Rattus norvegicus: one gene and its partners. The protein of the gene in region 2 interacts with the protein of the main gene of each other region in a biochemical or structural test. Links are inferred from orthologs where the notes say so. Each region holds a gene or a part of one and is shown on either strand. Other genes may lie near its edges.

Region 1 (10,393 bases), on a different chromosome or scaffold from region 2:
CTAAGTCTGCAAGGAGTGGGGCTGGAGAGGTGGCTCAGTGGTTAAGAGCACTGGCTGCGGGGTTGGGGATTTAGCTCAGTGGTAGAGCGCTTGCCTAGGAAGCGCAAGGCCCTGGGTTCGATCCCCAGCTCCGAAAAAAAAAAAAGAACCAAAAAAAAAAAAAAAAAAGCACTGGCTGCTCTTCCAGAGGTCCTGAGTTCGAATCCCAACCACATGGTGGCTCAGGACCATCTGTAATGGGATCTGATGCCTTCTTCTGGTGTGTATATGATAGATAAATTAATTTTTTTTAAAAAGTCTGCAAAGAATGTTTTAGAGGCTGCTGTAGGGAAACGTTTGCTTGGAAGAAAGGCACGGCCAGTGTGCTGAAGTAAGTTACCATATGGGATGGTGTCCTAGGCACACAGGAGTGTGTGTCTCTGTGTGTGTGTGGGGGGCAGTTGTGTCTTGGACCCCAGGTTTGATGGAGGGTAGGAGGGTGGGGAGACCTTGCTTTTGACCAAGAGTCTGAGATCTAGGTCATCAGGCCTTGACTAGGTTGGGTGGGGCCAGAGGAAACTGCCTGTACCCCTGGGTGCAGGGCACCATGGCTGGGCTCGCACTCCCCACACTGATGGAATGAGACTTTGCAGTCGAAGATGAGGTCCCACCTTGCTCCGAAATGTGTAAGTCAGCAGAATTCTTTTCTTTTTTATTGCCTTGGAGACATGAGCGGCTGGGGTCAAAATCGCCTCTGCAGGATATGAAGAGGTGGTGTTCCAGACGAAAATGCCTTGCCCAGCGCAGGGAGGCCCGCAGGAGAGCAGCTTCCAGACACAATGACACCCCAGGTGTGGAGCGGCCTGGGGGGATCACATTACACTCTGGAGCTTGTGCTGGGTGCCCTGGCCGAGAAGGGGTGGGGAACCTGTTGGGGCTGGGGCTGATGTGGGTCAGGGCCTGGCTACTCAGGAAGTCCCTGGACCAAAGGGTGGGGGGGGTGGGGTCCTCCTTTCCTCTCAGGCCATGGCTGTTTGTTCTGGGCTATCTTGCTCCTGTCTCTGTTCAGGCTGCTGTGGGAAATTTAATTCATTTTAACTCCCAGGAGCTTCTTCTTGGTGGGTTTTCTGTCTTAATCAGATGGTAACTAGCATTTACCAAGGATAGCCTCTGTACCCGGGGAACCTGGATCCTCAAGCAACCATGGGATGATCCCAGTCTCCCATTTTACAGGCAGGAAAACTAAGGCAGGAGCCCGCCAATTCTACTTTCACTATGTACAGCTGGAAGCTCTGAGTGTGGAGCCCCAGGTTCCCAGGATCCAGGCTATCATTTCCTTCCCATCAGGTTGTCTCCAAGCATCCTCAAAGCCTTCTCTGGGTGCTCCAGGGGTGAATCTGTCCTGCTTGTCTGCTCTATCACTCAGGAAACAGCTGGGTGAGGTCTTGGGGACTCCTCTGGGAGGAAGCGCAGAAGAGACCTCCCTCCCCCAGGGTTTGGCTGAGAGATAATTGGGGTGGTAGGAGTTCAGAGGGAATCTTATCTCTGGAGCCTCAGGAATGAGAAGAGGTGGCCTCTGGGAGGTGGGGACCTGGGAGAGGGGCCTGGGAAGGAAGAGGTTGGCCTTTCATGGTCCGCCCCTCAGACATTGGCCTTTTAGGTTTGGTTTGCCTGATTGCCATTCGCCCAATAGGTACTTGGTGAGGGGATATCTGCTCTCTCTCTCTCTCTCTCTCTCTCTCTCTCTCTCTCTCTCTCTCTCTCTCTGTGTGTGTGTGTGTGTGTTGGGAAGAAGGGGAGGGGAGAGCCCAGTAGGAAACACACTAGGAGATGGGTCTTTGGTAGAGGACCCAAGAAGAACCCGTGACAAATGAGTATTTTCCATGTGCAAAGTAGCAGCACACAGACCTGCACCTCCCTTCAGGATACCCCCACCTTGCTTGCTAGGGAGATGCTCCAAAAGATGGAGGGTGGATTTGAACTAGGAGGCTTCTGTGAGCCGCACACCTTAACCTGATGTCAGTCTAGACTTTAGAAGAGATAACCTGTAGAGACTTCTTTGGCAGAGACCTTGGGCAGGGCTGGTGTAGCTCTTGATTCTGCTTTGGGGGAACCTGCTGGCTGGGCTCTTCTTGATAACCTTTTCAGGAAAGTCCTTCCTTCTGAAGCTGTCTGTCCCGCTTGTCATTTCATCTGTGAAGCCCAGTCTCTCTGGGGACTGCAGTGACCCAGGGTGCTGTTTTACGGACAGAGACTACAGTGGTTCTCCTGTCATGGCCGCCCATGGGTCACATGTCCCTCCCCTACCCAAGCCCAGCAAGGCGTCCGATCTCTGCCTTCTTGGCTGCCTCCTCCACCTGAGCTCTGATGCTTCTCAGAGAGAAGAAACGGGAAAGACTGCCATGCTTCTGTCCCAGACCTCCTTGATGTTTCCGGGGGCCTGAGAACCAGCTAGTCATGGAGGTCGCCACACTGGCTTGATCACTCTGATGTCCTCCTGCCTGGCCTATGTGTGGCACTCCTGCTGGCCACAGAAGGCCACACACAGCCTTCCGAAGTAAGGGCAGGGCCCCTTTGTTTATTCAATATTAAGAACTGTAACTTGGTCACTGGAGGTCATGTCTCCAGCTCACAGCCTGAGTGGCCTCAGCTCACAAGCCACAGCAGGTCCAGGGAGGGGCCTCTCAGAGCTGTGCTGGCAGGGGACACAGTACTGTTGGTGTCCACAGCCTGGACTATGACCTGCAGGTCTCTTTTGGGGCCATCCCTGCGGCCCCTCAGGCAGCCACATGGTCTAAAATCCTCCCAAGGAGCCCAGAGAGCCCTAGGGTAGCTATCTCTGTTTCCAGAAGCCCGGAAGACCAGGCTGTCCCATTTCACCCTAGGACTTCAAGATGGAGCCCTCTACTCAAGGTCCTTCCCAAGCCCCTCTTGCCACTCTTTAATTCAGACTCCCATGGATATTCTTGGAGCCCGCCTTCAGCAGAGCAGGGAGGCCTGGCTTACCACCCCACAGCTCACTGCCATTCTGAGTGAATGCTGTTTTGCTCCCATTTTTCAGAAATGGAAACCGAGGCTCTAAAGAGCAGCTATCCACTGAGAGCTCCAGCATCTGTCTGGGTCCTTTCTTTCTGTGAAGAGAGGGAGGCTAGTCCTTTGCGACAGGAAAATTCAGTGTGGGTGTGTGGGGGGGGGGTTGTCCTGAACTTGGGTACAATGCCCAACTCCCTACTCCTCAGGCCCTACCTGGGGCTGGGGGTAGGGTTGTTAGACAGTAAGGCTTTGGCCCCTTGTGCCAGGATAAGGGGTGGGTGGACCCCCCCAAGAGGAGGGGGTGGGAGCACTCTCTAGTCCCAGATTTCACTTATGAACTCTGCAGAGCTGCAACATCTGGGGATCCGCAGTTCAAAAATACTAGGGGAAAAAAAAGCCTCGAAGTACCTGTACCGGATCCCTTGGGTGCTGAACCTGAGGAGGAGGAGGGAGGAGGATGAGGGAAGAGGAGTAGGGGTAGGTGGAGGAGGAGGAGGACGACGATGACAGTGTGTGTGTGTGTGTGTGTGTGTGTGTGTGTGTGTGTGTGTGTGTGTGTTTGTGTGTGTTGGGGAGTGAAGTGCAGAAAATAAAAGTAACGTCTGTAGGAGGAAACAACTTTATCTCCACTTTATCTTCGGTCCTGGAAGGTTACCAGAGGAAGTGGCACCCGAGGGGGAGGGGCAGGGAGAGAACTTTCCCTGAGGAGCAAAAGCCAGGGCAGCCGAAGCTGGCAGGCGGTGGGAGTACGGGCGGGGGTGGGCGGGTGTTTCTGCTTGACTGGAGCAAATGAAGTGTTCGGGAGGTTCGAAAGATGAGCCTTGTCCAAGAGTGGCCACCTCCGAGGAGCCTTCTCGGATTCCTGCGCTCCCTCCGGGATGCTTTCCTAGCACAGCCTATAGTTGCTACACTTTGGCCACTTCCAAGTGCGAGTCTCTAGAGGGCTGCAGCCTCGGATTCCTCTCTCTGCGCCCCTGAGGCGTCCGTCCCAGTGCCGGACACCCGGTGGGCACTCGGTAAATATTTGTAGAGCGCCCTGGGAGGAATGAATGAAGCCATTGGGCCAGGCTTGGGGAGGGCGGGGACAGGCGCAGGTGGGAGGCCGCGGGAGCGGGAGGGGCGGGGAAGTCGGTCCTCCTGCTCCTCCCCCCACTCCTCGGCCCCAGCGCGCCCCATTCCGGGGCTCCCGAGGCGGCTGGCGGGCGATCTGGGGCGCGCAGGACTGGAGAAGCGACCTGGGGTCCTTGTTTGGGGCGCGGGAGATCGGAAGGGTTTTTTTTTCCCGCTGGTGCCCGCGGGCCCGAGCGCGAGCAGAGTGGGAGGAGGGAGCGAGGGTTCGCCCAGCGCCCTGCTGCCTCCCCGGCACTCGCTCTCCGGACTTGAAGGTCTGCAAACTGCTGCTCCTCCCACCCCGGCCCGCCTCCTCGCTCTCTTGCTCTCTCTCTGGAGTTGCTGTGCTAGCCTTGCGGTGCGTCCTGGCGAGTGCGGGCCGAGGGGCCCCGGGCCAGAACTGAGTAGAGGACTGGGGCGTCTCGGGCAGAGCGCAGCGGGCCAGGGAGTGGCCATGAGTGGCGAGGCCACGGTGAAGCTCGTCTGCAGCAAGTGACCTCGGGTCGTGGACCGCTGCCCTGCCCCCTCCGCTGCCACCTGGGGCGGCGCGGGCCCGGTGCCCCGGATCGCGCGTAGAGCCGGCGCGATGCACGTGCGCTCGCTGCGCGCTGCGGCGCCACACAGCTTCGTGGCGCTCTGGGCGCCTCTGTTCTTGCTGCGCTCTGCCTTGGCCGACTTCAGCCTGGACAACGAGGTGCACTCCAGTTTCATCCACCGGCGCCTCCGCAGTCAGGAGCGGCGGGAGATGCAGCGGGAAATCCTGTCCATCTTGGGCTTGCCCCATCGTCCGCGCCCGCACCTCCAGGGAAAACATAATTCGGCGCCCATGTTCATGTTGGACCTGTACAACGCCATGGCGGTGGAGGAGAGTGGGCCGGACGGACAGGGCTTCTCCTACCCCTACAAGGCCGTCTTCAGTACCCAGGGTCCCCCTTTGGCCAGCCTGCAGGACAGCCACTTCCTCACCGACGCCGACATGGTCATGAGCTTCGTCAACCTAGGTGAGTGGCGGTAGGAGGTGATATATCTCAGACCAGGGCTACTTTGGGACAGGGAGAGGGTGCCTGCTTTCAACCACTGTGGTCCACCTTCCCATTTGCAAAGCATCAGTGCCGGCCAGAGACTCTTGCCCCCGGGTCTTGGTAAACTTTAAGCTCTGTGAGTCTTTGAGTCTTGCCGGCTCGGAGGGTTTGTGGGGGGTACCGAGAGGGAAGGACCTGCCCTGAGTCTCTTTGCCTGCTCCGCCGCGCGTTCATCTCACTCAGGGGCGGGAGGTCCCGGCCCGGCAGCGGCTTAGTTCAAAGCGCCCGGCTGGGTCATGTGAGCTGAACCGGCTTCAGCGGCCCGCGCTACCTGGATTTAAAGGGCCCTTGAGAGTAAAGCTGCCTTCCCGCCTTTCCTCCGCCCCTTTGAGCCCAGCTTGGCTCTGGCATCTCGCACATCCCCTTTCCTTGCCCTCTCTGGCCAGCCCTACCTGTCCCTTTGCGGTGCGCCTTCTCGGCGCGCGCTCGGAGTGTCGCGGGGCTCCTCTCCTAGCCGCCAGTCGCCCACCTTTGGACTCTCGGCTGGAGCCGGGGAAAGAACGTTGCCATTGCGAGTTTTCTATTTTAAATATTTAATGATAGGTCCCGGGCGGGCAGAATCCATTTTCAGCGTTTATCACGTGTGGCGCGCAAACCACGGGTTTTGGCGATTGGGTGGCTGGGGACCTCGGAACAGAGGCCGCCATGGAATGGCTGGGGAAACCGTTTCCATACTGTAGTTCCAGCCAACCAAGGGATGCGAGGCTGGGTTACGGCTGGTCTGAGACAGCTCCCCCTGCATCTGTGCGCGCACAAGTATCTAACTTGCTCAAACTAACCCCCAACCGTGCGCTGTGGGGCTGGCCATCAAATATTTGGCTTTGGTGATAACACACCCTGATAGTGCTGTTTCCTGAGTCACTTTTCTTCTGCTTGTGGAAGTTGCTGAGAAAACCCCAAGTCAAGACACCAAACACACCATGGGCGCCCGTCAACCTGGAAATAATGAAGCTTAAGGCCACCCCCCCCCCCTTTTCTCTCTCACTGGGCACCTGGGGCTCTGAAGGGATCTCCGGGAAGAAAGGGTCCACGTTAATCCTCTCAGCTCCAGATAAAGGCCTTGGAGCTTCTGGGAGACCATTGTCTGTTTCCATTTAAGATCAAAAAGTGTCAAATAATGAATCAAGCAAGGGTCAGGGTGTAAAGGCCTGTGATAGAGCTGACAAAATATTACAGAGCAAATTCAAATTCTCCTCAGACACTTGTTAAGAAGAGGTCCTGCTTTGGGATAGCCTCCAAACCCTGAAGGTAGGAAAGGCCAATTGCAAAGAGATTTTTCCTGGGGGTAGGGCTTGGTGTGCTGGGAGAGGGAGGCCGCCTTTCACTGCGTCCATTTTTTTAAAAAAAATGTGGATTTATTACCAAAAACTAAAGTCGACTCCTCAATAGAGACTTAGCAGTATGTGGTCAACGTGGATCTGCGAACCTATCCTGAAGGCAGGCATAACAAGGCCCTGGGTGAGGGTCAGGGCTTATGGCCTCTTCTGTTCTCCGGTGTGATCTCCAGGAAGCCAGTGAGTGGGTCCTAGCTGACAGTTCAGAGCTGGTCCATCGAGCTGCAACAGATAATCCCAGACTTTGGTGCCAGTCTCTGTGTTTCAGGTCTGGCCGTGTGGCCCCAGCTGGCTTCCCTCATCCCAAAGGGCCAGGTGGCTTCCAGGGCAGCTCCCAGGGCCCTGCTGGGAACCTGGCAGGGGCGGTTGCTCCCCACCCCCAAGCCCCGGCCTCCCTCGGGTACAAGCTGGGGCTTGCTGGGGAGGCCACAGCTGGGTGGCTTCCTCTGGCTGCACACACACCTTTCTTTCAGTCCGTTCTTTCTTTCATGTTGACAGGACAAAGCCTGGCTTGTCTGAGCCTCTTAATCAGTGGGGCTGGCCGTGGGCTTTTGTGGGACTGTCCTTTCTCAGGCATGGCTTTCTGGACCATCACTCCTAATTAGATAGCAGGGTGGCTTTTAACAGGACCCAGGGATAGGGTCTTGTTTTCTCTCTCTCCTTCTCTCGCTAAGCTAGAGGTAATTAGGGGAAGCCCCAGACTGTAGCTGCTAAGAGCTTCCTGTAGGTGCATCTTTAATCTCTGCTGGGCCACAGCACAGGCATAGGCCTCCTGCTCCTGCTGCTATGACCTGGGGATGGCAGCTGGGTTGAAGAAGGGTGTAGCGACCCCCAGAGACTCATCCCCACACTGAGGCTGCTGAGAAAGCGTAGTCTGGTCAGAAATAGACAAGTTTTAGAATGCCAGGTTCACGCTTACCCTTTGCTCCCCGAATGAGAAAAGGTCCTGGTTCCTGTCAAACCACCCCTTGTCACCCTTAGAGCATTTGGTGTTGGTGCCAGAGACCGGACCCCCTGGCTGCCTTCCACACACACCTCTGCCCACACACCTCCGCCATTCTCCCTCAGGCCTGCCTGCTTGGGGGACCCCCTGCCTCAACCCTGAAGGCTTTTGCAGATCCACTGCCTCTCTCCTCCTGTCTGCAGCCAAACTGGTTTTTGTTCTTGTAAGTTGTTCTCCCTGGAATTCGAGCAGTCTGCCAGGCCTAGTGGGATCCACACCAGAGGAAAATTTACAGCAAAACCAGGTGCTGCGTGTGAGGACTTGACTGCCCCAGATGACAAAGACCAGCCTGAACCATAAAGTCCCTGGGAAAGCCGGCTAGCGTGGGACACCCATCCTCCTGGCTCTGGCCCCGAAGTTCAATGACAAGATCTGTAAACTGGTTTGGATTAACAAGCCCCCTACTCCTCTGGGTAGACTTCATTTTGGAATTCAAAACAGGCCACACTCTCTCAAACAGTCCCCAGGCAAAGTTGATCCTGCAGAGACCTGGCCTAGCTATTATTAACCCCAGCTATTCTTTCTTCGGGAAGCCAAAAGCCCTGTTCAGAATCTTTCTAGAAAGCCAACCGGCTTGGAGAGGGTGTATGTGACTGCTGTTTATCTCCTGGGCCAGGTTGGGAAGGAATGAAATTTGTTTAATCTTCGAAGCTAAGTTAGAAAAGGGAGCCTGCTCGGACCCCGTCATTACTGTAGCCAGCACAGAGAAGTGGCTTTTGTTAACTTGTTCTGGTAAGCAGAGGTGAGGCCTAGCAGTTTGTTTTTTCACTTTACCCCCCATCTGGCTGTCCCTTTTGGAGACAAGTGTTTGGCGCTAAGATCTCTCCTTTAACCCTCCGAACAGATCAGGCCACTGGGGAAGGGGAAGGAAAGGTCCTGTTACAATTTAAAGGCATCCTTTGGGGAGTGCGCCACAGAGAGTGGCTGCGGAGCCTGCAGCTGTAAACTGGCCCGCCTTAGAATTTGGAAGGGGCTCCCTCACATTCCAACCCTTTTGGTTAGCAGCAGAAGGTTAATAGAGATGTCACATGTATTTCCCCTTCACCTTCTCTCCCCTCTCCCTCCCTCTCCCCCTCCCTCCTCCCTCCCTCCCTCTCTCTCTAGATCAACTTCACCATAGGGGTGTACCCACAGCTGTGTTTTCAGGAACCCTTTCAAAGTCACTTTTAAACCTCATTTTCCTGGATCTATAAATCAAAGATTCCCCCCTCCCCTTTTCCCAAGGATATTATGTGACCCAGATTTGAACTGTTTTGGATCTTTTGTGTGTATTTCCCTTCTGCAGTCAAGGCAGGCTAAGGCTGGGGCCCGGAATGGCAGCTCAGATGGCTGCTTTGGGGTTTTATCCCAGGGCGGATTCGGGTTCCCTTGAAAGGTGGGAGGTGGCTCGGAGGAGACCGGTGGATTGTTTTCCTGCGTGGAGAGAAGAAAGTGAGACCCTCAGAGACCCAGCTCCAGAGAACTGGGTTGGGGCCCTACCTAAGCCGCGACTGGTGGCAGCCTGCAAGCTTTTGCCTGGATGAGCACAGCGGGGCGGACGCCCGTGAGCACATGTCATAGGCCTGCTGAACCGGGGGACAAGTGATGACTTCATCCCAGGCAGAGTCCCGTGGAGGTTGATTGATGACCCCGCCGCTTTCATATCTCGCCCACCCCACTTGCTAAGGTCATATTTGGCCCTCATCGAGTCTCACAGTGTCCTCCGGCTGCCTTCCCCACCCTTCCCGCCCTGCCCCTCCGTGTAGCTGTGGATTGGAGAACACTTTCCTCCCAGCAGCGGTCTGGCGCTCCGCGGCCACGGCTGCGGCCCGTGGACACACAGGGGATGTGGCTGGAGACTGCACGGCTTGCCTTCGCGCGCTCCGCCGCGTCTCTGGGGTCAGGGCGCAGGCAGGGATGTATAGGATCTGTCTTGTTATTGTCAGAAGGAATGCACTCAGGGATTAGCGGGAGAGCAAGGTGGTGGGAGGGAACCGCAGCTGTGTACACTTATTATAAAAGATTTAAGTCCCACTGGTAAAATCAATATATTGAATTGCACAGCGCTCTGTTTTTAATTAGTTTAAGTCAAACGCGCCCATGCTGTTTTGCCTCCCCTCGCCTCCGTGGGGTGAGGAAACACCAATATTTACATAGAAACTGATAACACTTTTAGCTTCACACACTCCAATGACCCAGGCTTGATGGATCCCAGATCAACATGGGATTGGGAGGGATGATGTCAGTGGGGAAGAGGGACATCGGTGACGCCTAGGACTTGGACCCCGATGCTGGGACGCCGCGAAGGGTGTGTGTTTAGAGACCGCGTTGGTGACCTTGGACTTTTAACAAAGAAGCCCGCTTTTTCCGCATAGGCAGTCGGAAAAGCTGAGATTCACCAACTCGCCCCCTAGAACATTCTTGCAAAACCATCTAGGGGCTCCGCCAGCATGCGGGGTTCTTTGTGCCGGGGGCAACTCGGGGCACGTGCTTTATTTATTCCAGAACTCTCCTTCCTAGTCCCTGCAAGTGTTTACAGAGGCAGGATGGCTTGCACTGTAAGCTCGCATGCACCGCCGGGGCGATTATGTGAGCCGGTCGGTATTAGCTGTGTGCTCAGCTGGGATTGAATTCCCCGGGTTTTGCAGCAAACGGCATTTGACAAATACTATTTGACAAAAAATGTGACTTGGTATTTCTTAATGTGGAACAGATATTTCACGGTTAACCTCCCCCGGGTGAAAAATCGCTCGACCCCCAAGTGCAATGGCGGTACAGATGAACGCCAGGGCTGGGCTGGGAACCGCCCCCCCCCCGCCTCCTCCAGAATGGGCTGTTTATGATTTGGGGGATGTCAGGAGTGCACGGAGCCC
Region 2 (9,905 bases):
AGCCAGATCAGCCGCCCAGTCAAATGATTGTGAGAGCCAGAAGTGGATGGCTCCAAGGAAATCGCATCTTCAGACACAGCAGGACTGGTGTACATAGGACTTCAGAGACTAACCATGTGCGCAGCCTCAGACAAAACCTCAGCACGGAGAAGAGGAAGTAGACATACAGCTCACCTCTGACCAAACAAGACCTGGGAGGAATTTGGGGAGGGAAAGGAATGATCAAAATATACTGTATAAAGAATCAAATTCTTAAAATTGTTAGAATAAGGAGAGTGTAGGTAAGTAGTGAAAACTGGGGCGGTGTCAGATCAGCTAGGATCTTGGAGGCTGAGTTGAAGGATTTTAATTATCATTTAGATTTCGTTGCATAGTAAATCACCTTTAACTCAGTGGCTTGAAGCCAAAAACATTTATTATTTCTCATAATTATGAGTCTGTTAGAAAGTTTGTTTTCGAGACTTGTGCAGCAATTGATAAACTATATCCCAGTTCATGGGGTTGACAGTTGGCGCGGTGCTTCATGAGAGCAGAAAGATAGGCAGGTTAAGATACACAGCGTCCGTGAGGACTACTTGTTGTACATTTACTACTCTGTAGTCCAAGGCCCAAGAGTGTGGGCAAGGAGAGCTCCCAGGGTGGCCGGCTAACCAGAGTGCGTGTTCACTGCTGCTTTTGCATGCTGTACACACTGGGGCTGTTTGGATATGCCAGGCTTTCTAATGGGATGACCTTAAAGGGTTCTTTTCATAAACTCTGTTTTTGTTTCTGTATAGGTTCAGCGAACTATTGCCAAACAGATTCAGATGGTTCGGCAGGTTGGTAAGGGCCGGTATGGAGAAGTATGGATGGGTAAATGGCGTGGTGAAAAAGTGGCTGTCAAAGTGTTTTTTACCACTGAAGAAGCTAGCTGGTTTAGAGAAACAGAAATCTACCAGACGGTGTTAATGCGTCATGAAAATATACTTGGTGAGTATCCTACAAGTTCCTCATTCTGGCAAGGTTCTCAGGGTGCACAGGAGAGCCTGCCATGTGCATATGGATTCAAATGTTTATGTAGCTAAAGGCAATCTAGTAGAGTTCACAGTGAACTAGAACTCTTTCCTGGATGCCGAGAAAGCATCTTCCTGCTCTAAACAACATTGAGCTTTAGAAGGACGGAAAAGGCTGCTTTACTGGACTTGTGGACTAATGGGAGCCAAGTGTTTGGCAGAGAACTTCAGTGCTTTTCTAGGGTAGCTTTAACTGCGTCGACCTTTTCCCTTTCGTCATTAGAAAAACCCAGTTCTGACCTTTTTTATTTCCAGTGTGTGACTTTATTGTGTTTTTATACCTAATACATCTTCCTCTCACCACCACCTCATTATAGAGTGGTGAAGTGCTATCTAATCGTTAGAATGGGGACAGATCTAGCTTTTCTGAGTTTTCTTTTCAGCTGCTACTTCATTATCTCTCTCTTTTTTCGGGGAGCGGGGATGCAGTGGGGAGGATCCCTGGTTCTTTATTAAAACCATTTCTTCTCAGTAGTGTTTTTCCATGGAGGGTGGAGGGTCCTGCAACAGTTCCAGAAGATTTCCTTGGTTTCAAAGGTGACTTTGCATATGACCAGGAGTTCTTCCCAAGATGGGAGGCTTAGCCAGTTGCAGAAGAGGGGCTTTGAGGTTTTTACTGAGGGGTATAGTGGGAGAGGCTGAGAGGCCGGGAGAGCGCAGTACTAGGGAAGGACTTGAGCTTATCCTCCAGTTGTCAGGCTGTTGGGGAATGCTCCCTTTTCACAAAGAGATGGCAGAAGGTGTGCCTTGGTTTGGGTTTGATTTCTGTCAGAGCGGGTGTCAGTGCTTCGGGTCTTGGTGAAGAACACATATCCAGATATCTGAGTGCCTTGGTCTTTTGCCTGCTTTTCCTTGTTGAGCATAGGATTCATATGGGAGCGAGCAGTAAACAGTGCTTCATCTGCAAGTTCTGTGCTGATTCAGGTCAGGATTTCTTCAGATCGGCATAATTAGGCTTTCTGCCCTCCACTTAAGGAGGTGGAAGCTTGAGATGACCAGATGTCCTTCTTGTCCCCACTTCTGGCAGATATGGATGCTATCCTGCAAATGTCTGTGGGAGTTCTATAGTTCTGTTGCTAAGAGACTGGAGATTCTGGAATTCTCATCTTTTAATTTGTAAAGTGCATTGCCCATTGCCATGTACAGACATTTATGTTCATTTCCTGTGGCTACTATAAAAAAATTGTCATAAGCTGAGCGGTTTTGTTTCTGTTTTTGTTTTTTTTTTAAGATTTATTTATTTTATGTATATGAGTGCACGGTAGCTATCTTCAAACACACCAGAAGAGGGCATCAAATCTCATAGATGGTTGTGAGCCACCATGTGGTTGCTGGGAACTGAACTTATGACCTCTGGAAGAGCAGTCAGTGCTCTTAACTGCTGAGCCATCTCTCCAGCCCAAGCTGAGTGGTTTAAAACATCAGAAGTATGGGTGAGTGTGATGGTACACACCTTCAATCCTAGCACTCAGGTGGATCTCTGAGTTCAGAGATAACCTGGTCTACAGAGTGAGTTCCAGGATAGCCATTGCTACACAGAAAAAAAAAATAGAGGAGGGTGTTGGGGGGAGATGGTTTACTGTTGAAGGGGTTGACTAGTTGGTTGGAACCTGAGTGTAGAATGTATTTAAAGAGTGAAGTTTGATGGTAAGATATGGACGGTGGAGATTCTGTTTAGACTCCTGGAACTCTGACCAATAGCCTAGCCTACCTGGCAGGGTTCCAGGCCAGTGAAACACTCGGGTCTCAAGAGTTGTAAGCAGGAGAGGAATGACCCCTCAGGTCATCCCTGACCTCCACATCTACTCACACTCTTATGTGTACGTGTTACCTGTGCACACATAAAAAAAGGGGAGCGACTGACCATCCCCTCAGCTTTAGGATCCAGAACTTTAAAATGAAGCTGTTGGCAGGACCATGGCCTCTCTGCAGGTTCCTTCCTGACTGAAGGGGTCATTAGTGTCCTTGGACTTACAGACAGCCCTCCTCTCAGTACTTCATAGAGTCTTTCTGACCACGTCATACAGAGGGACACTGATGCGGGGATTTGCACACAGTCTTCTCATGCATGGCTTCATGGAAATGTAATTTTATCTACAAAGACCCTTTTTCCAGTGTAACTTAAAATATCTATTTTTCAACTTGAAATTGAGAGCTTTTATTTTGGGGGTTCAGGGGTAGGGTTTTTTGTTCTTTTCCTGGCCATTAAATAGTCTTCCTCTGTAGCTCTGGCAGCCTTAACTCGTTCAGTCTTCCTGCCTCTGTCTCCTGAGTACTGGGATCACAAACTTGTGCCACCACTCCCTGGTAAAGAACCTTTTCAAGAGAGAGTCATGTAGGCAAATAGCACTTGCAGGATATCGTATAATAAATATATGGTTTTTCTTAGTCATATTATTATCACTGCTGTGATCAATGTCAGGGTTGTCATGTTAGCTGTATGTGGTAGCACATGCCTGTAATCAATCCCAGCACTCAAGAGGCTGAGTGGGGATGACCACACGTTTGAATATAGCCTGGACTACATAGCAAAACCCTGTGTTTAAAAATACTGTAAATCTAGACCTGAAAGATGGCCCAGTGACTAAGAACACATACTGTCCTCGCAGAAGGCCTGAGCCTGAGTGTGATTCCTAACACCCACGTTAGACAGCTCACAGCCGCCTGCAGCTCCAGCTCTAAGGGATTCAACAGCCCTCTGATCTCCTTCACTCACACACACACACACACTCACTCACTCACACATACACACTCACACACAAATTAAAAATACTGTACATTTATTGTAAAACTGTAGTGATGTGTATAAATCATAGGAAATGAGTCCTTGGTGATACTCTCAAAACATTTTGCCAGCCAGGTTAGGATAGTACTTTGTGTACATAGTAGCAGTTCATTCCCAGTGTCCTGATCAGTAACTGCCTGGTGTCTCTGCACACAGCTAACCTCTGAACTCTCTAACTAAACAGGTTTTATAGCTGCAGACATTAAAGGCACCGGTTCCTGGACTCAGCTGTATTTGATTACTGATTACCATGAGAATGGGTCTCTCTATGACTTCCTGAAATGTGCCACCCTGGACACCAGAGCCCTACTCAAGTTAGCTTATTCTGCTGCCTGTGGTCTGTGCCACCTCCACACAGAAATTTATGGCACGCAAGGCAAGCCTGCAATTGCTCATCGAGACCTGAAGAGCAAAAACATCCTTATTAAGAAAAATGGTAGTTGCTGTATTGCTGACCTGGGCCTAGCTGTTAAATTCAACAGGTAAATGATTCTTTGGAAATTCTTTTAATATCTGTCAGGTATTTATCCTCAGGTTTGGTTGTTTCTTTTTCTTTTTACAAAGCTGCATGTGACTGTACTTCTCTGGGGATTGTTATGGATTGAACCTGAGGTCTCACGAGTGCTAAGCACACCCTCTGCGGCTAAATGGCCTCCCAGCCTCTGCGTGATTGTTGACTTCCTTTTTTAAGCCATAAGATGCTTTATTTAAATAAGATGCTTTTATTTCACTTTACCTTTACTTGCTCTTTTTGCAAATATAGTTGTCCATGTTAAATATAAAGTAACCTAAATAATGGGCGTTAGGTTTGCTTCCAGTTCCTCTGTGTTTCTAAAAAGGTTATGAAGCTGGGAGTGGTGGGACGCACCTTTAGTCCTAGGACTTGGGAGGCAGAAACAGGTGAATCTCTGGGTTCCAGGACAGCCAGGGCTATACAAAGAAACTCTGTCTCAAAACACAAAGCAAAACACCACAACAAAAATGGGTATTACGAACATTATTGAATTTTATGCATATAAGTCTATTCTTGAACACTTGCATAAATATTTTTGTTGGGGGCTGGAGAGATAGATCAGCGATTAAGAGCACCCGACTGCTCTTCCAGAGGTCCTGAGTTCAATTCCCAGCAACCACATGGTGGCTCACAACCATCTGTAAAGAGATCCGATGCCCTCTTCTGGTGTGTCTGAAGACAGCTACGGTGTACTCATATATATAATAAATGAATAAATAAATCTTTGAAAAAAAAGTTTTTTTTCTTTTTTTTTTTCTTTTTTTCGGAGCTGGGGACCGAACCCAGGGCCTTGTGCTTGCTAGGCAAGTGCTCTACCACTGAGCTAAATCCCCAACCCCGAAAAAAAATGTTTTTTAAAAAAAAATTTTTTTTGTTGGGGTTCAGGAGTCCTCCCACAAACCACATGCATCAACACTGATCTCAGTCAGACAGGGATAGTTTATTGAGCACACACCACAAGATTGATCGATCACAGTTTGGGAGCTAAAGCTAAGTACCCCAAACCTTTCCCAGGACTAGCTTAGAGGTTAAAACTACAGTGAGCTCATGTGCAGGTGCCTTGACTCAAGGTATTTTAGACAAAGCAATTCATATTAGCCTTGAATTTGATGGGTCCTAAGTGAAGCTATGGTTGTGGAATTTCCTTTTTTTTTTTTTAAGATAATTTATTTAATTTTATTTTATGTGTGCTGGTATGAGACTTTCAGATCCTTTAGAACTGGAGTTACAGACAGTTACAAATTGCCAGGTGGGTGCTGGGATTTGAACCTGGGTCCTTTGGAAGAGCAGTTTTCTTAACTACTGAGCCGTCTTTCCAGCCTCCCTGGAATCTCTTAAGATTAACAAACCTCATAACATGCAGAGCATAACAGGGTCTGTGGTCAGCACGACCCTGCTCGAGTCAGGTTATTTCTCTGTGTCAATGATGGGCAGGCGTGTTATAGCAACATTGTGAAATAGCTGGCAGGCATGGGACAAAATGGCTACAGCTATGCCAGGTGGGCAAGCCTCATCAATTTTTATTCATAATAGATTTCTAGATAAGGGAGGCTCCTGGAGAGTTTCCACATAGTTACTTATGGCATATTGTAAAATAGTGCTTCAGAATGGTATTGTGTGTGAAAATAGGGGAAGATAATTAGGCACTTTCTTTCGATGTTGTTAGTTTTCCAAAACAATTAGAACTATAAAAATTTCAAGGAACTGTTGAAGCAGTTGTTTCACATTTCAGAATTCATTTAAAGCCAAAAAGTAAAAATACTAGTTTACTTACTAGTGGAGGGACTAGAGAGATGACTTAACAGTTAAGAGCACTTACTTAAGCTCTTACAAGGACCTGGGGTCAGTTCCTAGCACTCACATCAAGCTTCTCAAAACTACCTATAATTCCAACTCCAGGGCATCCGGCCTTCACAGACCTGCAGTCACTTGGAACATGTGGCCTCATGCGGGTGCACATACATGCACATAGAGAATGAATAAGTAATTGTTTTGTTGTTGTTCATTTTGAGGCAAGGACTCACTTTGTCACTAGGCTGATCTGGAACTCTGTGGACCAAGTTGACCTTGAACTCACAGAGGTTCTCTTGTGCCACCACACCTGGCTTTTTTTTTTCTTTTCTTTCTTTCTTTTTTTTCTTCTTTCTCTCTTTTTTTCTTTTGTAGCAGCAGCAGTAGTAATTAAAATTGTATGGGGCATCTTCTTGGTCATTAGCAGTGTTCTTTTTGTTGTTTTGAGGGGAAGTTGTTATAAATTCTAAGATTTTCTTTCCCAGCCCTGGCTCCCAGATTGACAACTCTGAGATTAATTATTTATTATTCAATGCTTAGGCTATAACCTTAGGCTCATTCCCTGACTAACTTATTTAGTCTATTCAAACTGTGCTGTGTCTACCACTTGATTAGTTACCTCTCTTTCAGTCCCAGCCTGCGTCTTTCTTCATGGCGCTCTCAGTGTCTAGTTCAAATCCTTCTTGTGCCTCTCTTTAGTCTCCTTTTGTTCTCTATTTCCCAGAATCCTCCCCTTCCTGCCAGTGTCCTACCTATTTCCTACAAAAGCTGATTGCCATAACAAATAAATCTTTTTTAAAAAGCAAGTTTAGTTAGTTGTTGTTTGGGGTGTGTGTGTGTGTGTGTGTGTGTGTGTGTGTGTGTGTGTGTGTACACGTACATGTGTCTATATATGGGGGTGTTTTGTTTTTCAAGTCAGAGTTTCTCTGGGTAGCCCTGACTGTCCTGGAATTGACTCTGTAGACCATCAGGCTGGTCTCAAATTTATATCCCCCACCTCTGCCCCCCAACTGCTGGGATTAAAAGTATGCACCACGACTCCTGGTTTTATTTTTATGTTTATGTATATATTGCATGCATAGATGTCTATATTCCACATTCAAGCAGTTCTCCAGAGGTCAGAAGATGACTGGAACGGGAATTACAGGTGGTAGGTAGTAAGCCACTGTATAGGTGCTAGAAATTGCACCCAGGTCCACTGGAAATGTATCAAGTACATTTAACTGCTAAACTATCTTTTCCAGTCCCTACTCCATTGTTTTTAATTCATCCTCACGTGAGTTTTCAGGACTCCTGTGAGCATGCAGCCTGATTCTTGCCAAGATAGAATACAAGTAGCCTCTTGCCTAAGTTTCTCTGTAACTTCATGAGCCAGGCCTCCGCTGTGTACCTTTCTCTCAGCATTCTGGTCTTCCCACTCCCATGAGGAAGCTCCGTAAGTCTGCAGGCTCCCCTGGCACGTCAGTCTAGACGCTTCCACGTTGTCCCCATAGCAACTAAAGGCATAGCAACCATATCGTCAGCTGTATTGTAGCAACAGCCCCACCCCTCCTTTCTGTGTGCTATTGACTGTTGCACATGCAGAAACTACAGGAGGACCTCCAAAATCCTGTTTTTATCATTCTAGTATTCCCTTGAGAAAGGGTCTCTCACTAAACTAGGAACTAGCCAGGTGGCTGGAAGCCCCAAGGAACCTTTTCTCTCTCGTACCTCCATGGCACGGATGTTACTGATGGCACACCCAGCTTGAGGGCTAGGGATTAAACTCAGGGCCTCCTGCCTGTGTAACAAGTATTCTTACCAGTGAGCCTTCCCTTAAGAACCAGCTTCATACATTGTTTCATGTTGCTGTGACAAAATATGACAAAAGCACCTTTTGTCTTTAGCCTTTAATGGCTAAACTATGGTGCCAGCCTAACAAAAGCAACTTTTAAGGAAGGAAAGAACTTATTTTGCTCATGTTCTCAGGGTGTAGTCCATCAGGATAGGGGAAACATTATTGGGGGAGTATGAGGTCACATTGTGCTGTAGTAAAAAAGCAGAGAGAGTTGAATGTGAAGTGGGGGTTCTCTTGTTTCTCCTTTTAACATTTTTATTCAGGAATTGAAGCCCACAGGATAGTATCACCTCATTCAAGGAGATCTGTCCTTCCTCTACTGAATTTCTCTGGAAATGCCCTCAGAAACAGCACACCTCCACCCCTGCCCCACCCCCATCCCTGGTTGCTTCCAAATCTAGTCAAGATGACAATGAAAATTAACCATCAGAGATGTTTTATAACAAAATACAATACCTTGTACTGGTTCCACTGGAAAGTGGTTTCTAGAACTTTCCAGTCGCAGTAACAAAACATTTATGTCTTCAAGTCTAAAATTCAGTGCAAACCCCAGAAAAGTAAAAAGTCATTTATTACTGACTATGTAGATATTACTTTGTTTCTAATATAAATAAATTGGATCCATGAGAAATAAATTTCAATTCTGCATTTTAATGTTAAACTTGTTATATAAAAATGTTGAAAATAAATTATTTTTCTTTTATTTTTATACTCAACTTCTCAGATATAATTACCTGTTCTTGTACTTGTCTTATATAAAAAATATTGTCATGCTTTTTTTTTTTTTTTTCTTTTTTTTAAGATAGGGGCATATGTAGCCCAGGCTGGACTGGAACGAGACATTTAGCCAAGGATGACCTTGAAATTCTGGTCATCCTGCCCTTACCTCTTCAGAGCTTAGTGTTAAGGTGACAAAAATGACTCACCACACTGGACTTAGGTGGTGCTGGGGGTGGAACTTGGGCCTCCTGTGTCTATACAGACGAGCGCTACACCAGCCGGGCCTCACTGGTGTTACCTCTGATAAAAACAGCTGCTTTGGTGACAGGTCTCAGCTGAATCTACGAAAGGTGTTTGTAGTAATCCAGTTTAGTGTGAAAGGTTGGTCAGCGATCTGTGGCAGACATGGTTCCAACGTCAGAATGACTGTCCCAGCTCCTGCTTGGGATGCTATGTAATATCAGCATTATGTAACATTAATTCTATAAAGGACTCATAACATTACATAACATTAAATCTGTAAAGGACTCGACTTCTAACACATCTGCCTTCAAGAGTTGATAGTAAAGAGTATAAGAATTTACATGTCCTCGACAGAAAAATATTTATAAGGATGTACAGAGATGAAGTGTTGTTTGGTCCTCTACTTGACCGCTGTCTTCCTCCTGTCTTAGTGACACAAATGAAGTTGACATACCCTTGAACACCAGGGTGGGCACCAGGCGGTACATGGCTCCAGAAGTGCTGGACGAGAGCCTGAGTAAAAACCATTTCCAGCCCTACATCATGGCTGACATCTACAGCTTTGGTTTGATCATTTGGGAGATGGCCCGTCGCTGTATTACAGGAGGTAGGGATTTGAACAGTGTTTCTAACTGTATTCGTTTACTTGTCGATTAAAAAATAATTACCTAATTTATATGTCACCTATGTCAGGGTTTCCCAGGACCACTCTCAAACCCTCTGGTTTCATCAGAATTATGCACATAGTTGTCTAAGGGGAAAGATGCCAAGAGCAGTCCTCAGAAAATGCAGGTTTCCAACAGCTCTCTTCAGTCTCTTCAGGGAGAGAGAGCATGCTTGGTTTCTCCCTTCCCTCAGCCAGCTGTGACAGGGTGAAGTGTTGTCGTCAGGGAAGCTCGGTGTGCCTGCCATGTCTGTTGGCTCTGCTAGTGTGTACCCCAACTCCAGCCTCTCAGAAGAAGG
Region 3 (10,669 bases), on a different chromosome or scaffold from region 2:
TGGGGAACTGATGGAGGGCATCCAGTTTAAGGGGGTGCGATTCTCAGTGTCAGCACCAAGGGTTTCCACAAGAAACATCTTTAAAGAATGTTTTCTTGGGGGGAAAGTCACCTCCTAATAGTTGAAGAGGTATCTCCTTCGGGCACACAGCCCTGTTCGCAGCCTGTTTCTCAACGTTTGGGAATCCTTTAACAGTTTACGGAAGGCCACCCTTTAAACCAATCCAACAGCTCCCTTCTCCATAACCTGATTTTAGAGGTGTTTCATTATCTCTAATTACTCGGGGTAAATGGTGATTACTCAGTGTTTTAATCATCAGTTTGGGCAGCAGTTACTCTAAACTCAGGGAAGCCCAGACTCCCATGGGTATTTTTGGAAGGAACAGAGACTAGTTGGTGCACGCTTTCTAGTACCTCTTGCACGTGGTCCCCAGGTGAGCCCTGGCTGCTTCCCGAGCTGGAGGCATCGGTGTCCCAGCCAAGGTGGCAACTGAGGACTGGGGCGCTGTGCAGGCTTCCGGACCCGGGCCTGCCAGGCGAGGCGAGGCGAGGCGAGGCCCCGTGGCTGGATGGGAGGATGTGGGCGGGGCTCCCATCCCCAGAAGGGGAGGCGATTAAGGGAGGAGGGAAGAAAGGAGGGGCCGCTGGGGAAAGACTGGGGAGGAAGGGAAGAAAGAGAGGGAGGGAAAAGAGAAGGAAGGAGTAGATGAGAGAGGGTGGTGCTGGAGGGTGGGAAGGCAGGAGCGCGAGGCCTGGCCCGGAAGCTAGGTGAGTTCGGCATCCGAGCTGAGGGACCCTAGTCTAAGACGCCGCTGCTACCCAGTCTGAGTATCTGGTCTCCGTCCCTAATGGGATTCTCGTCCAAACCGTCTGGAGCCTGCAGCGATCCAGTCTCTGGCCCTCGACCAGGTTCACTGCAGCTGTCTAGAGGTCCCCAGGAGCAGCTGCGGGCGAGCCCGCTTCTGCAGGAACCTATGGTGAGTATGGCATCCTGGCAAGGGGCGCTCGTTTGAGGGTTCGAGGTGCAACCATAGCTGGGATGGGCTCAGGCTGTAAGTGTGGCAAAAGTTGGCCTATTCCTCCTTCCTTCTCCAACAGTAGTGTTGGAGGTGGGATGATGGGGCTGAAAGGCACCTCCATATGTATTACTACGTCCATCCAACCTACTTTCAGGGAGATGCCGGCCAGGAGAGGCGGGAAGGAGAGAAGGCCTTGGATGGAGGTCATTGGGAAGAATCGTGGGGTTTGGTGGGTTTGATTTCCCCCTAGACTAAAAGAGTGGGAGAGGAGGGAGTCAACTCAGTTTCAACACGAGAGGGGTACGGAGGGACTGCGACACCGGGAGAGAAAACCTAGCCAGAGCTAGCTTTGCAAAAAAGATGTAGTCTTGCTTGGCTCTAAAGCGCGACCTGGGATACAGGGGCTTCCTTGAGCGGGGTGTCACCTAATCTCATCTCCAACGCGCCCCCCTCCCCGGAGAGCTAGCGAACTGTAGCTACAGAACTCGCTCCAATCTCCACGAGTTATTTTTTTAGACATGGGCACCCATGCATTCTGCCTTCAGCCTCCCTTCCAACCCCCCCCTCCCCGGGAGGGGGTGTAAGGTTCGACGGGCCCTGGCCAGGATGCCCGAAGGCTACCTGTGCGGGTCTTCTGCTGTGTTGTGTCGGTGGGGACGAGCCGGCAGGTCTAATGAGGAGCTTTCTTGGCTCACGATGCCCCAAAGGGTTCGGGGATTGCGGGGTCCTTACAAAAACGCAGCGTAGTTGGACCCCCCGGGACTCGGAAAGTTTCCCGCCACGGCTTTGGCTGATAGTTTTTGAATATCTCGTTTTATGAGCTGAAGGTTTTGTGAGATGTTGAATCGCTAACAGGGCCATATTCAGTAAACTGAGGCTAATATTAAGTTTTGGCTTTGGGAGAAGATTATGGGAAGAAAGTGAAGGGTAACTGCCGCCAGGAGCTGTACCAACCCCATTAAGAAAAAAAGAGTACTAGGAGATGAAAATTAACTTGAATTTGTTTTTTTTTTAATTTAAAAAAATCAGGGAAGAAAAGAGTGATTAGAGGGGGGTCCTTGTGAACTTGTAATTGAAACAACTCCTTCGCCTCTTTACTGGGTTTTAACGTCGAGAGCGCTCCCCACACCGCCAGACTCCCAAGGGCACAGGATTGTCCCGGGACCCCGAGCGTCTGCCCGTTCCACTCTGCCCTCGCTCCGCGTGCGCCAGTCACTAGCACATCTCCATCTCCTTTCCCCTTAAAAACAAATAAACACATCAACAAGAAGCCCTTTGCCCTTTCCAGGGCTTTCCCAGTTATTCCCAGCGGCGACGCTGGTCGGGGAAAGGAGAAATTGTCTCGGAAACCTGCGCGGCTGGTGGTGAGAGCGGATTGTCGCTCAGGGGCGCCCGCGGTCTCTGCACCCAGGCCAGCGGTGTGGGCTGGTGCTTGGCAGCCACCACCGCCAGGAAGGACATGACTCTCCATCCTTTACACTTCTTTCTCAAAGGTTTCCCGAAAGCTTTCCCCGTCCCGAAAACTGGGGCGGGGGGCGGTGAGGCTGGAAAGCAGCCGGACACGTCGAGTTCCTAAGTGAGGCAAAGAGGCCGGGTGGAGCGGGCTCTGGAGCGGGAGTCCCGGGACTCGGGTCCTCCTCGGATGGACCCCGCGCAACGACCTCCTTGAACAGAAGAGTTGCGCTTCCTGAGGTTAGAACAGGCCCACGTGTGTGGCATCTTGGGATAGTCAGGTCACCCCCCGCCCCCGCCCCCGTCATTGCCTGAGTTGTGTGTTGGTGAATTTCTTGGAGGAATCTTTGCTGCGATTCTGTAGCTGGTGCAAAGGAGGAAAGGGGTGGGGGGAAGGAAGTGGCGCGCGCGGGGGTGGGGGGTGGTGGGGGTGGGGGTGGTTTAAAAAGTAAGCCAAGCCGGAGGGAGAGGTCGAGTGCAGGCCGAAAGCTGTTCTCGGGTTTGTAGACGCTTGGGATCGCGCTGGGGTTTCCTTTCCGCGCCGGGTCGGAGTTGTAAAGCCTTTGCGACTCTGAGATCTGAAAAAAAAAAAATGTGATGCGCGCTCTCTCTTCGGCGACGCCTGTTTTGGAATCTGTCTGGAGCTAGGAACCCAGACGTCCACCCCCTCCGCCTTGAATGGCACCGCCGACCGGTTTCTGAAGGATCTGCTTGGCTGGAGCGGACGCTGCGGTTGGCAGACACGGTGCGGGGACTCTGGCGGGGCTACTAGACAGTGCTTCAGAAGCCGCTCCTTCTGACTTTCCCACACCGCTCACACCCTGACACCCCCGCGGCAGACTGAGTTGGCGACGGGGTCAGAGTCTTCTGGCTGGGAGTTAGATCCGCTAGGGGTCGGCGCCTGTCGCTGGAAGCATTATTTGGCCTCTCGGAGACCCTGTGGAGGAAGTGCCGGAGTGTGCGAGTGTGTTTGCCTGTGTGTGCGCGCGCTCTTGGAGGGTCCCTACGCGTTTTCCTTTTCTCGTAACTCTCGGTCGTGAGGCTTTGAAGGAACTGTCTTTTCGGTCGCCCTCTCGGCTGCACTTAAGCCGTGTCGGCGCTGTAAAGAGAAGCGTCTTCAAGTGCACCCTGATCCCTCAACCTTCAGATAACCGGTCCCCGAACCTGGCCAGATGCATTGCACTGCGCGCCGCAGGTAGAGACGTGCCCCACGTCCCCTGCGTGCAGTGACTACGACGGAGAACCCCGCCAGCGGCTGGTGTCCCGCCGAGAGCTCCTCCGAGCAGGCGGGGACAACTCCCAGACGGCTGGGGCTCCAGCTGCGGGCGCGGAGGTTGGCCTCGCTCGCAGGGGCTGGACCCAGCCGGGGTGGGAGGATGGAGGAGGGGCGGGCGGGCTCTTCGGTGAGTGGGGCGGGGCCTCTGGGTCCACGTGACTCCTAGGGGCTGGAAGAAAAACAGAGCCTGTCTGCTCCAGAGTCTCATTATATTCAAATATTCATTTTAGGAGCCATTCCGTAGTGCCATTCCGAGCGACGCACTGCCGCAGCTTCTCTGAGCCTTTCCAGCAAGTTTGTTCAAGATTGGCTCCCAAGAATCATGGACTGTTATTATATGCCTTGTTTTCTGTCAGTGAGTAGACACCTCTTCTTTCCCCCTCTTGGGATTTCATTCTGTCTTCCCACCCCTGATCGCTGTCTGTCCCTCCCGTCGGACTTCCATTCCAATGTCCGCGCCCCACTCTCAGGCAGCGCTGTCGCTCTCTTTCCTGGCCCCTGAAGGCCAGACGCTCGAAGCGTACGGGGTCCTTCTAAAGCGCTCCCACTGTCTTCTCTGATCCGCTGCGTTGCAAGAAAGTGGGGAACGCGAAGGACCAAAGAGATGAAAGGTCCGCAGGTCCGGGCTGTCCCTTGAGGGCTAACCACTCCCTTCCCAGTCCGGTCCCACTAGCCTGGGAAGGCCAGTTCTTTGCCTCATGTCAAAAAAAAAAAAAAAATTACCCGTGTTCGCTTCGGAATCACCCCTACCCTTCCCTGGGAACAAGACTTTTTCCTGAACATTTTCAACGCAGCGACCACAATGAAATAAATCACAAAGTCACTGGGGCAACCCCCCTGACTTTTTTTCCCAGCCACTGGACCTTGCTGCCTGGTCCAAGCCCGGTCGTCGCTGCTCTGTTCTCCCCTCCTCCTGTTCTTAACCAGCTGGAAGTTGTGGAAATTGGGCTGGAGGGAGGAGGAAGGGCGGGGGGTTGTGGTGGAGGAAGAGGGGGAGGCTGAAGGTCCGAAGTGAAGAGCGATGCCATTTTAATTCTCCCTCCCCCACCCCCCTTTTACCCCCTCAATGTTAACTGTTTATCCTTGAAGAAGCCACGCTGAGATCATGGCTCAGATAGCCGTTGGGACAGGATGGAGGCTATCTGATTTGGGGTTATTTGAGTGTAAACAAGTTAGACCAAGTAATTACAGGGCGATTCTTACTTTCGGGCCGTGCATGGCTGCAGCTGGTGTGTGTGTGTGGGGAGGGTGTGAGGGAGAAAACACAAACTTGATCTTTCGGACCTGTTTTACATCTTGGCCGTCGGTTGCTATCCCTATATGCATATGCAGAGACATCTCTATTTCTCGCTATTGATCGGTATTTATTTATTCTTTAACCTTCCACCCCCTCCCCTTCCCCAGAGACACCATGATTCCTGGTAACCGAATGCTGATGGTCGTTTTATTATGCCAAGTCCTGCTAGGAGGCGCGAGCCATGCTAGTTTGATACCTGAGACCGGGAAGAAAAAAGTCGCCGAGATTCAGGGCCACGCGGGAGGACGCCGCTCAGGGCAGAGCCATGAGCTCCTGCGGGACTTCGAGGCGACACTTCTGCAGATGTTTGGGCTGCGCCGCCGTCCGCAGCCGAGCAAGAGCGCCGTCATCCCGGATTACATGAGGGATCTTTACCGGCTCCAGTCTGGGGAGGAGGAGGAAGAAGAGCAGAGCCAGGGAACCGGGCTTGAGTACCCTGAGCGTCCTGCCAGCAGAGCCAACACTGTGAGGAGTTTCCATCACGAAGGTCAGTTTCTGCTCTTAGTCCTGGCGGCGTAGGGTGGGGTGGAGCGCCCGGGCCCCGGCGGAGGGGGGCGGGGGGGGGGTAGCTGGCAGGGCAAGCTGAAGGGGCTGTGGAAGCCCTTGGGGAAGAAGAGTTCAGGTTACATCAAAGCTCCAAGTCCTGGAGGCTGTGGAACAGGGCCACTTACCTTCAACTTTCCAGAGCGCAGCCTCTGAAGGTACTTTCTGGAGACCAGTGGTGGTGGTGATGGGGGAGGGGGGGCGATGTTGAGGAGGAGCGGAGTGACACCACTCAGACGTGGGCTAGCCCCAGCGGTGTGCTTTAGCCATATCAAAGCCGGGGTTTCTGCCCGTTTTGTTCAAAGCACCTACTGAATTTAATATTACAGCTGTGTGTTTGTCAGATTTATTCAATAGGGGCCTTGTAATACGATCTGAATGTTTCCTAGCGGATGTTTCTTTTCCAAAGTAAATCTGAGTTATTAATCCTCCAGCATCATTACTGTGTTGGAATTTATTTTCCCTTCTGTAACATGATCAACAAGGCATGCTCTGTGTTTCCAGGATCGCTGGGGAAATGTTTGGTAACATACTCGAAAGTGGAGAGGGAGAGAGAGAGAGAGGGTGGCCCCTCTTTTTCTTTACAACCACTTGTAAAGAAAACTGTACACAAAGCCAAGAGGGGGGCTTTCAAAGGGGAGTCCGAGGGTGGTGGAGTAAAAGAGTTGACACATGGAAATTATTAGGCATATAAAGGAGCTCGGGAGATACTTTCTGTCTTTGGTGCTTGACAAATGTGAGCTGAGTTCTGCTGGTTTGCTGGCTGCCCCGTTTCTCTGCCTTCCCATTAAAAGGCACAGTAATTTCCTCCCCTTAGGTTTCCACTACAAGCAGAGTTCAACCAATTCCCCTATTTTGTTTGTTTGTTTGTTTTTTGTTTTTCTTTTTTCTTTTTTGTCTCAGAAAAGCTCATGGGCCTTTTCTTTTCCCTTTTCAACTGTGCCTAGAACATCTGGAGAACATCCCAGGGACCAGTGAGAGCTCTGCTTTTCGTTTCTTCTTTAACCTCAGCAGCATCCCAGAGAATGAGGTGATCTCCTCTGCAGAGCTCCGGCTATTTCGGGAGCAGGTGGACCAGGGCCCTGACTGGGAACAGGGCTTCCACCGTATAAACATTTATGAGGTTATGAAGCCCCCAGCAGAAATGGTGCCTGGACACCTCATCACACGACTACTGGACACCAGACTAGTCCATCACAATGTGACACGGTGGGAAACTTTCGATGTGAGCCCTGCAGTCCTTCGATGGACCCGGGAAAAGCAACCCAACTATGGGCTGGCCATTGAGGTGACTCACCTCCACCAGACACGGACCCACCAGGGCCAACATGTCAGGATTAGCCGATCGTTACCTCAAGGGAGTGGAAATTGGGCCCAACTCCGGCCCCTCCTGGTCACTTTTGGCCACGATGGCCGGGGTCATACCTTGACCCGCCGGAGGGCCAAGCGTAGTCCCAAGCATCACCCACAGCGCTCCAGGAAGAAGAATAAGAACTGCCGTCGCCATTCGCTCTACGTGGACTTCAGTGACGTGGGCTGGAATGATTGGATCGTGGCCCCACCGGGCTACCAGGCCTTCTACTGCCACGGGGACTGTCCCTTTCCACTGGCGGACCACCTCAACTCAACCAATCATGCCATTGTGCAGACCCTGGTCAACTCCGTTAATTCTAGCATCCCTAAGGCCTGCTGTGTCCCCACCGAACTGAGCGCCATTTCCATGTTGTATCTGGACGAGTACGACAAGGTGGTGTTGAAAAATTATCAGGAGATGGTGGTGGAGGGGTGCGGATGCCGCTGAAATCAGGCAGTCCGGAGGACGGATGCACACACACACACACACACACACACACACACACACACACACACAAAGCCCATCCGACCACCCACACATACCACACAAACTGCTTCCCTATAGCTGGACTTTTATCTTAAAAAAAAGAAAAAAAGAAAGAAAGAAAAAGAAAGACAGAAAAGGAAAAAAAAAAAACCAACCCTAAACACCCACCTTGACCTTATTTATGACTTTACGTGCAAATGTTTTGACCATATTGATCATATATTTTGACAAATATATTTATAACTACGTATTAAAAGAAAATAAAATGAGTCATTATTTTAAAGATACATTACGGCCTTTCTATCTTATTTCCTATTCCGTCCTTTTGTTTTACTTTGAGATGGGGCTGGGGGTAGACTGATGAAAGTCAGAGGTGGCAACTGGAGGTGTCTAAACCGTGGGGGCCCAGAGCCAAGTGATGGCAGCGAGATGGCGACTGCTCTCCATTCTTACTTAATGTTAACAAGGAAGCAGCACCCTCTCCCATCTGGATGACACATGCCATGCAGAAACTGGATGAAAGGAATAGCCAGATGAAAAAGAATTTGGTTTGGGACTTCTGGATCTTCTTGGCTTTGCTCACCTGTTGTAGAGTGTCAGAGCCTCAACCCTGTGGAGAAAGGTTTCCACTCTCAGAGACTCATTCCCACCTTTTGCTTCATGATACCCCGGAGTGTCTTCAGTACTGGCAGGCCTCTTTCTCCTTTTGAACCAAATCCAATCCATACATACAAGGTCTCCTTTCAAACAGGGCTTTGAGTTTAGTGGCTTCCCCCCCCCACCTCCCGACAGGGGTCCCACTATGTAGTCCTGGCTGTCCTAGAGCTCACTATATAGACCAGGCTGGCCTCAAACTCACAGAGATCTGTCCCTCAAATGTTGGGATTAAAGCTCTCCTCTCTCTCTCTCTCTTTCTCTCTCTCTCTCTCCTTTTTCCTTTTTCTTTTTTTCGAGCTGGATTTCATAACAATAATAGGTCCTACCTTGAAATAATTTAGTGACCACTCTGGACATATAAGGTGTGGTGGGATGCTTCAGTGTTAAGGGGCTGTTAACCTTCATCCTTCCTTCCCCTTCTTTCAAGTTCAGAATCCCAGTATTGTGTTAGGGAAGGGGAGTTGGCAATGAGATGAACTACAAGAGTTTTGAAGCGGGCCCGCCTGTGAAAGTGTTCTGATATCTCTCCTCTCGGCATTTACTGAGTCATGGATCTCTTGTCTTTTTCTGTGCTAGCTCCTCCACCATCCTCCAGAACCAGCCAGAGTACGATCTGTCCTGTGGAACTGAAGTTTGCAGCAGGGGTTGGTTCTTCAAGGAGAAAGCCTCGTTTGGTGGCTCAGTGAAAGGAATGATCTTAGCTGGAGATGTGGTTCAGATGGCAGAGGGCTTGCCTGGAGTGCAGGAAACCTTGGGTGTGATTCCCTGCTGGAGTCAGGGTGTGGTGGGAGAGGTGACGAACACACCAGTGATCCTAGCTCTCTAGTAGAGGCTAAAGGAACACAAGTTCAAGGTCATGCTCGGTTACAGAGGAAGTTTCCGGCCAGCCTGGGACAAATGAGACTTTGTTGTCTTAAAAAGAAAGAAAGAAACAAAAGGAAGAAAAGGTGGGAAGAAGACATCACTGGGCTTAGAGGTGGGAGACCCCTTCAGTTAAGGACAGAAGGAGCTTTCCAAAGGGTATGTTTGTAGGAATTTAGGGAAACAAAAGAGAGGCCTTTGACTTCTCATTACCAGAGTTAAATTAAGTCCTAGTCAGTTCAGCTCCTTCTCCCTGCTCCAGTTGAATAATTTAGGGTAGAAACAGTGGGGATCCTGGTCCTCTGCAAAGGGCCAGGAAAAGGGCATTCCTCTGTTTCTGCATCGCTCTGAAGGTGAAGGTTGTTTTGTTTGGGAGTTGTGTCAGACACAAGGCACAGGGGCAGTTTAGCCTTCTCTGTGCGTCGTGCGTGCACCTCCCTGAATTCTTTTACACGCAGTATTGCGTGTGCTTTTGGAAGTCTGATGGATGAAGCAGGACTCGTTTTTGTTTTTAATTACTGAAGTCCTACAGTCCTGCAAAAAGGAGCAGCTTAGTGGAAACCAATAAAAATAGAAGTGGGGTGCTTGCCAAAGCCTCAGCTCCCTGGAGAGCGCAGGTGGAGAGAGGAGATCAGAGCCCTGGGCGAAGGCAGCAAGACTCCACCGCACCTCCAGACTCCTTGCAAAAGAGAGCTTTCCCACTGCTCCAGCCCCAAGGGTCACTGCCCCTTACAGTAAAGGTATGGAGCGTGAATCAAGCCTCTGGGGGACAGCCCGTCGTGGATTCTCCTTTGGGAGGCCTCATTTTGCTTTGCCTGGTCTTCAGCAAATCTCTGAGAGGCACATGTCATTGGAAGACAGCCCCAGATCTCCAGCACTTGAACCGAAGGTCCTAGCTTGGTGACTTGTCAGCTCAGGTCGTTTTCTAGCAATCACTCCCCCCCCCACCCCGCCCCCCAACCTCCTTCGACTGGCTTGTTTTCAGGAATGGATAATGTTGTTTATTTGTTCAGCCAAATATTTGGTCTGGGGAATTTACCGTGAAATTCTGTGAATTGCATATACCTAGTTAACAAAATAGTCCAAGTGCCACAAATGTTAGCATAGAAAACAAAGTGCCATGATCGGCTTTAACCCTCTGGACTCTTGTTGAAACCCAGTGAGGAGGCCTAGGGGGAGATGAACTTGAATGTGAGGAGATTACCTAAATTAGGTTTTTGCCTTAGACTGGGCCCCAGAACCTTATGAGAGCTTGCATCTAACTTGGCATCTCCCCTTTTATAGTCTCACCCCTCCCAACCCCCCACGATGATTCCATTACTTAGAGAAGAGGAGGGGAGAATCGCCCTAGAGGAGGAGTTCATAAAGTCCTAACCACATTAGAAGAGCTGTTGACTCGATCCCAGCCCACCCTTAAACTGGAACCGGCTTCCTTGGAACTTAAGACCCCCCCTTCCCCCCCCAAAAAAAGCGTTTGTGTGGGGGCTTTCGTTGCGTAATTCGTTTAAAACCTGCCAGGTGACCTGCTGACTTTGTTTTCTGTCTTGACGGTGCTTCATTCCACCGCCCTTCTTGCCGCAGGCCAGCGCCACACTGAGAGGGCCCTGCGCAGCCGCGGAGCTGGCAGACCCCACTCGTCACCCCAGGCTTTGGACGGACTTCAAGATCCCGCCCCAGCGGCCGCCTCCCTCCGGCTCCCGCTGCTGGCTGGCCGCGGCGGGGGCA

The links.
Region 1: the proteins of Bmpr1a (region 2) and Bmp7 form a complex in vitro, tested with the Homo sapiens proteins (2 studies listed by BioGRID). The link is inferred for Rattus norvegicus from reciprocal best matches to the Homo sapiens genes BMPR1A and BMP7.
Region 3: the proteins of Bmpr1a (region 2) and Bmp4 form a complex in vitro, tested with the Homo sapiens proteins (3 studies listed by BioGRID and IntAct, with this or other methods). The link is inferred for Rattus norvegicus from reciprocal best matches to the Homo sapiens genes BMPR1A and BMP4.

What each region holds. Positions count from the first base shown.
Region 1 is NC_086021.1:182,129,038-182,139,430, reverse strand, and holds the start of Bmp7 (bone morphogenetic protein 7 precursor), read left to right. Parts: upstream 1-4,284; 5' UTR 4,285-4,708; coding exon 4,709-5,123; intron 5,124-10,393. UniProt on the Homo sapiens protein: Growth factor of the TGF-beta superfamily that plays important role in various biological processes, including embryogenesis, hematopoiesis, neurogenesis and skeletal morphogenesis.
Region 2 is NC_086034.1:9,745,114-9,755,018, reverse strand, and holds part of Bmpr1a (bone morphogenetic protein receptor type-1A precursor), read left to right. Parts: intron 1-776; coding exon 777-969; intron 970-1,384; exon of another isoform or gene 1,385-2,128; intron 2,129-3,077; exon of another isoform or gene 3,078-3,122; intron 3,123-4,021; coding exon 4,022-4,319; intron 4,320-9,373; coding exon 9,374-9,549; intron 9,550-9,905. UniProt on the Homo sapiens protein: On ligand binding, forms a receptor complex consisting of two type II and two type I transmembrane serine/threonine kinases.
Region 3 is NC_086033.1:22,095,235-22,105,903, reverse strand, and holds Bmp4 (bone morphogenetic protein 4 precursor), read left to right. Parts: upstream 1-3,970; 5' UTR 3,971-3,976; coding exon of another isoform or gene 3,977-4,101; intron 4,102-5,150; 5' UTR 5,151-5,157; coding exon 5,158-5,530; intron 5,531-6,533; coding exon 6,534-7,387; 3' UTR 7,388-7,557; downstream 7,558-10,669.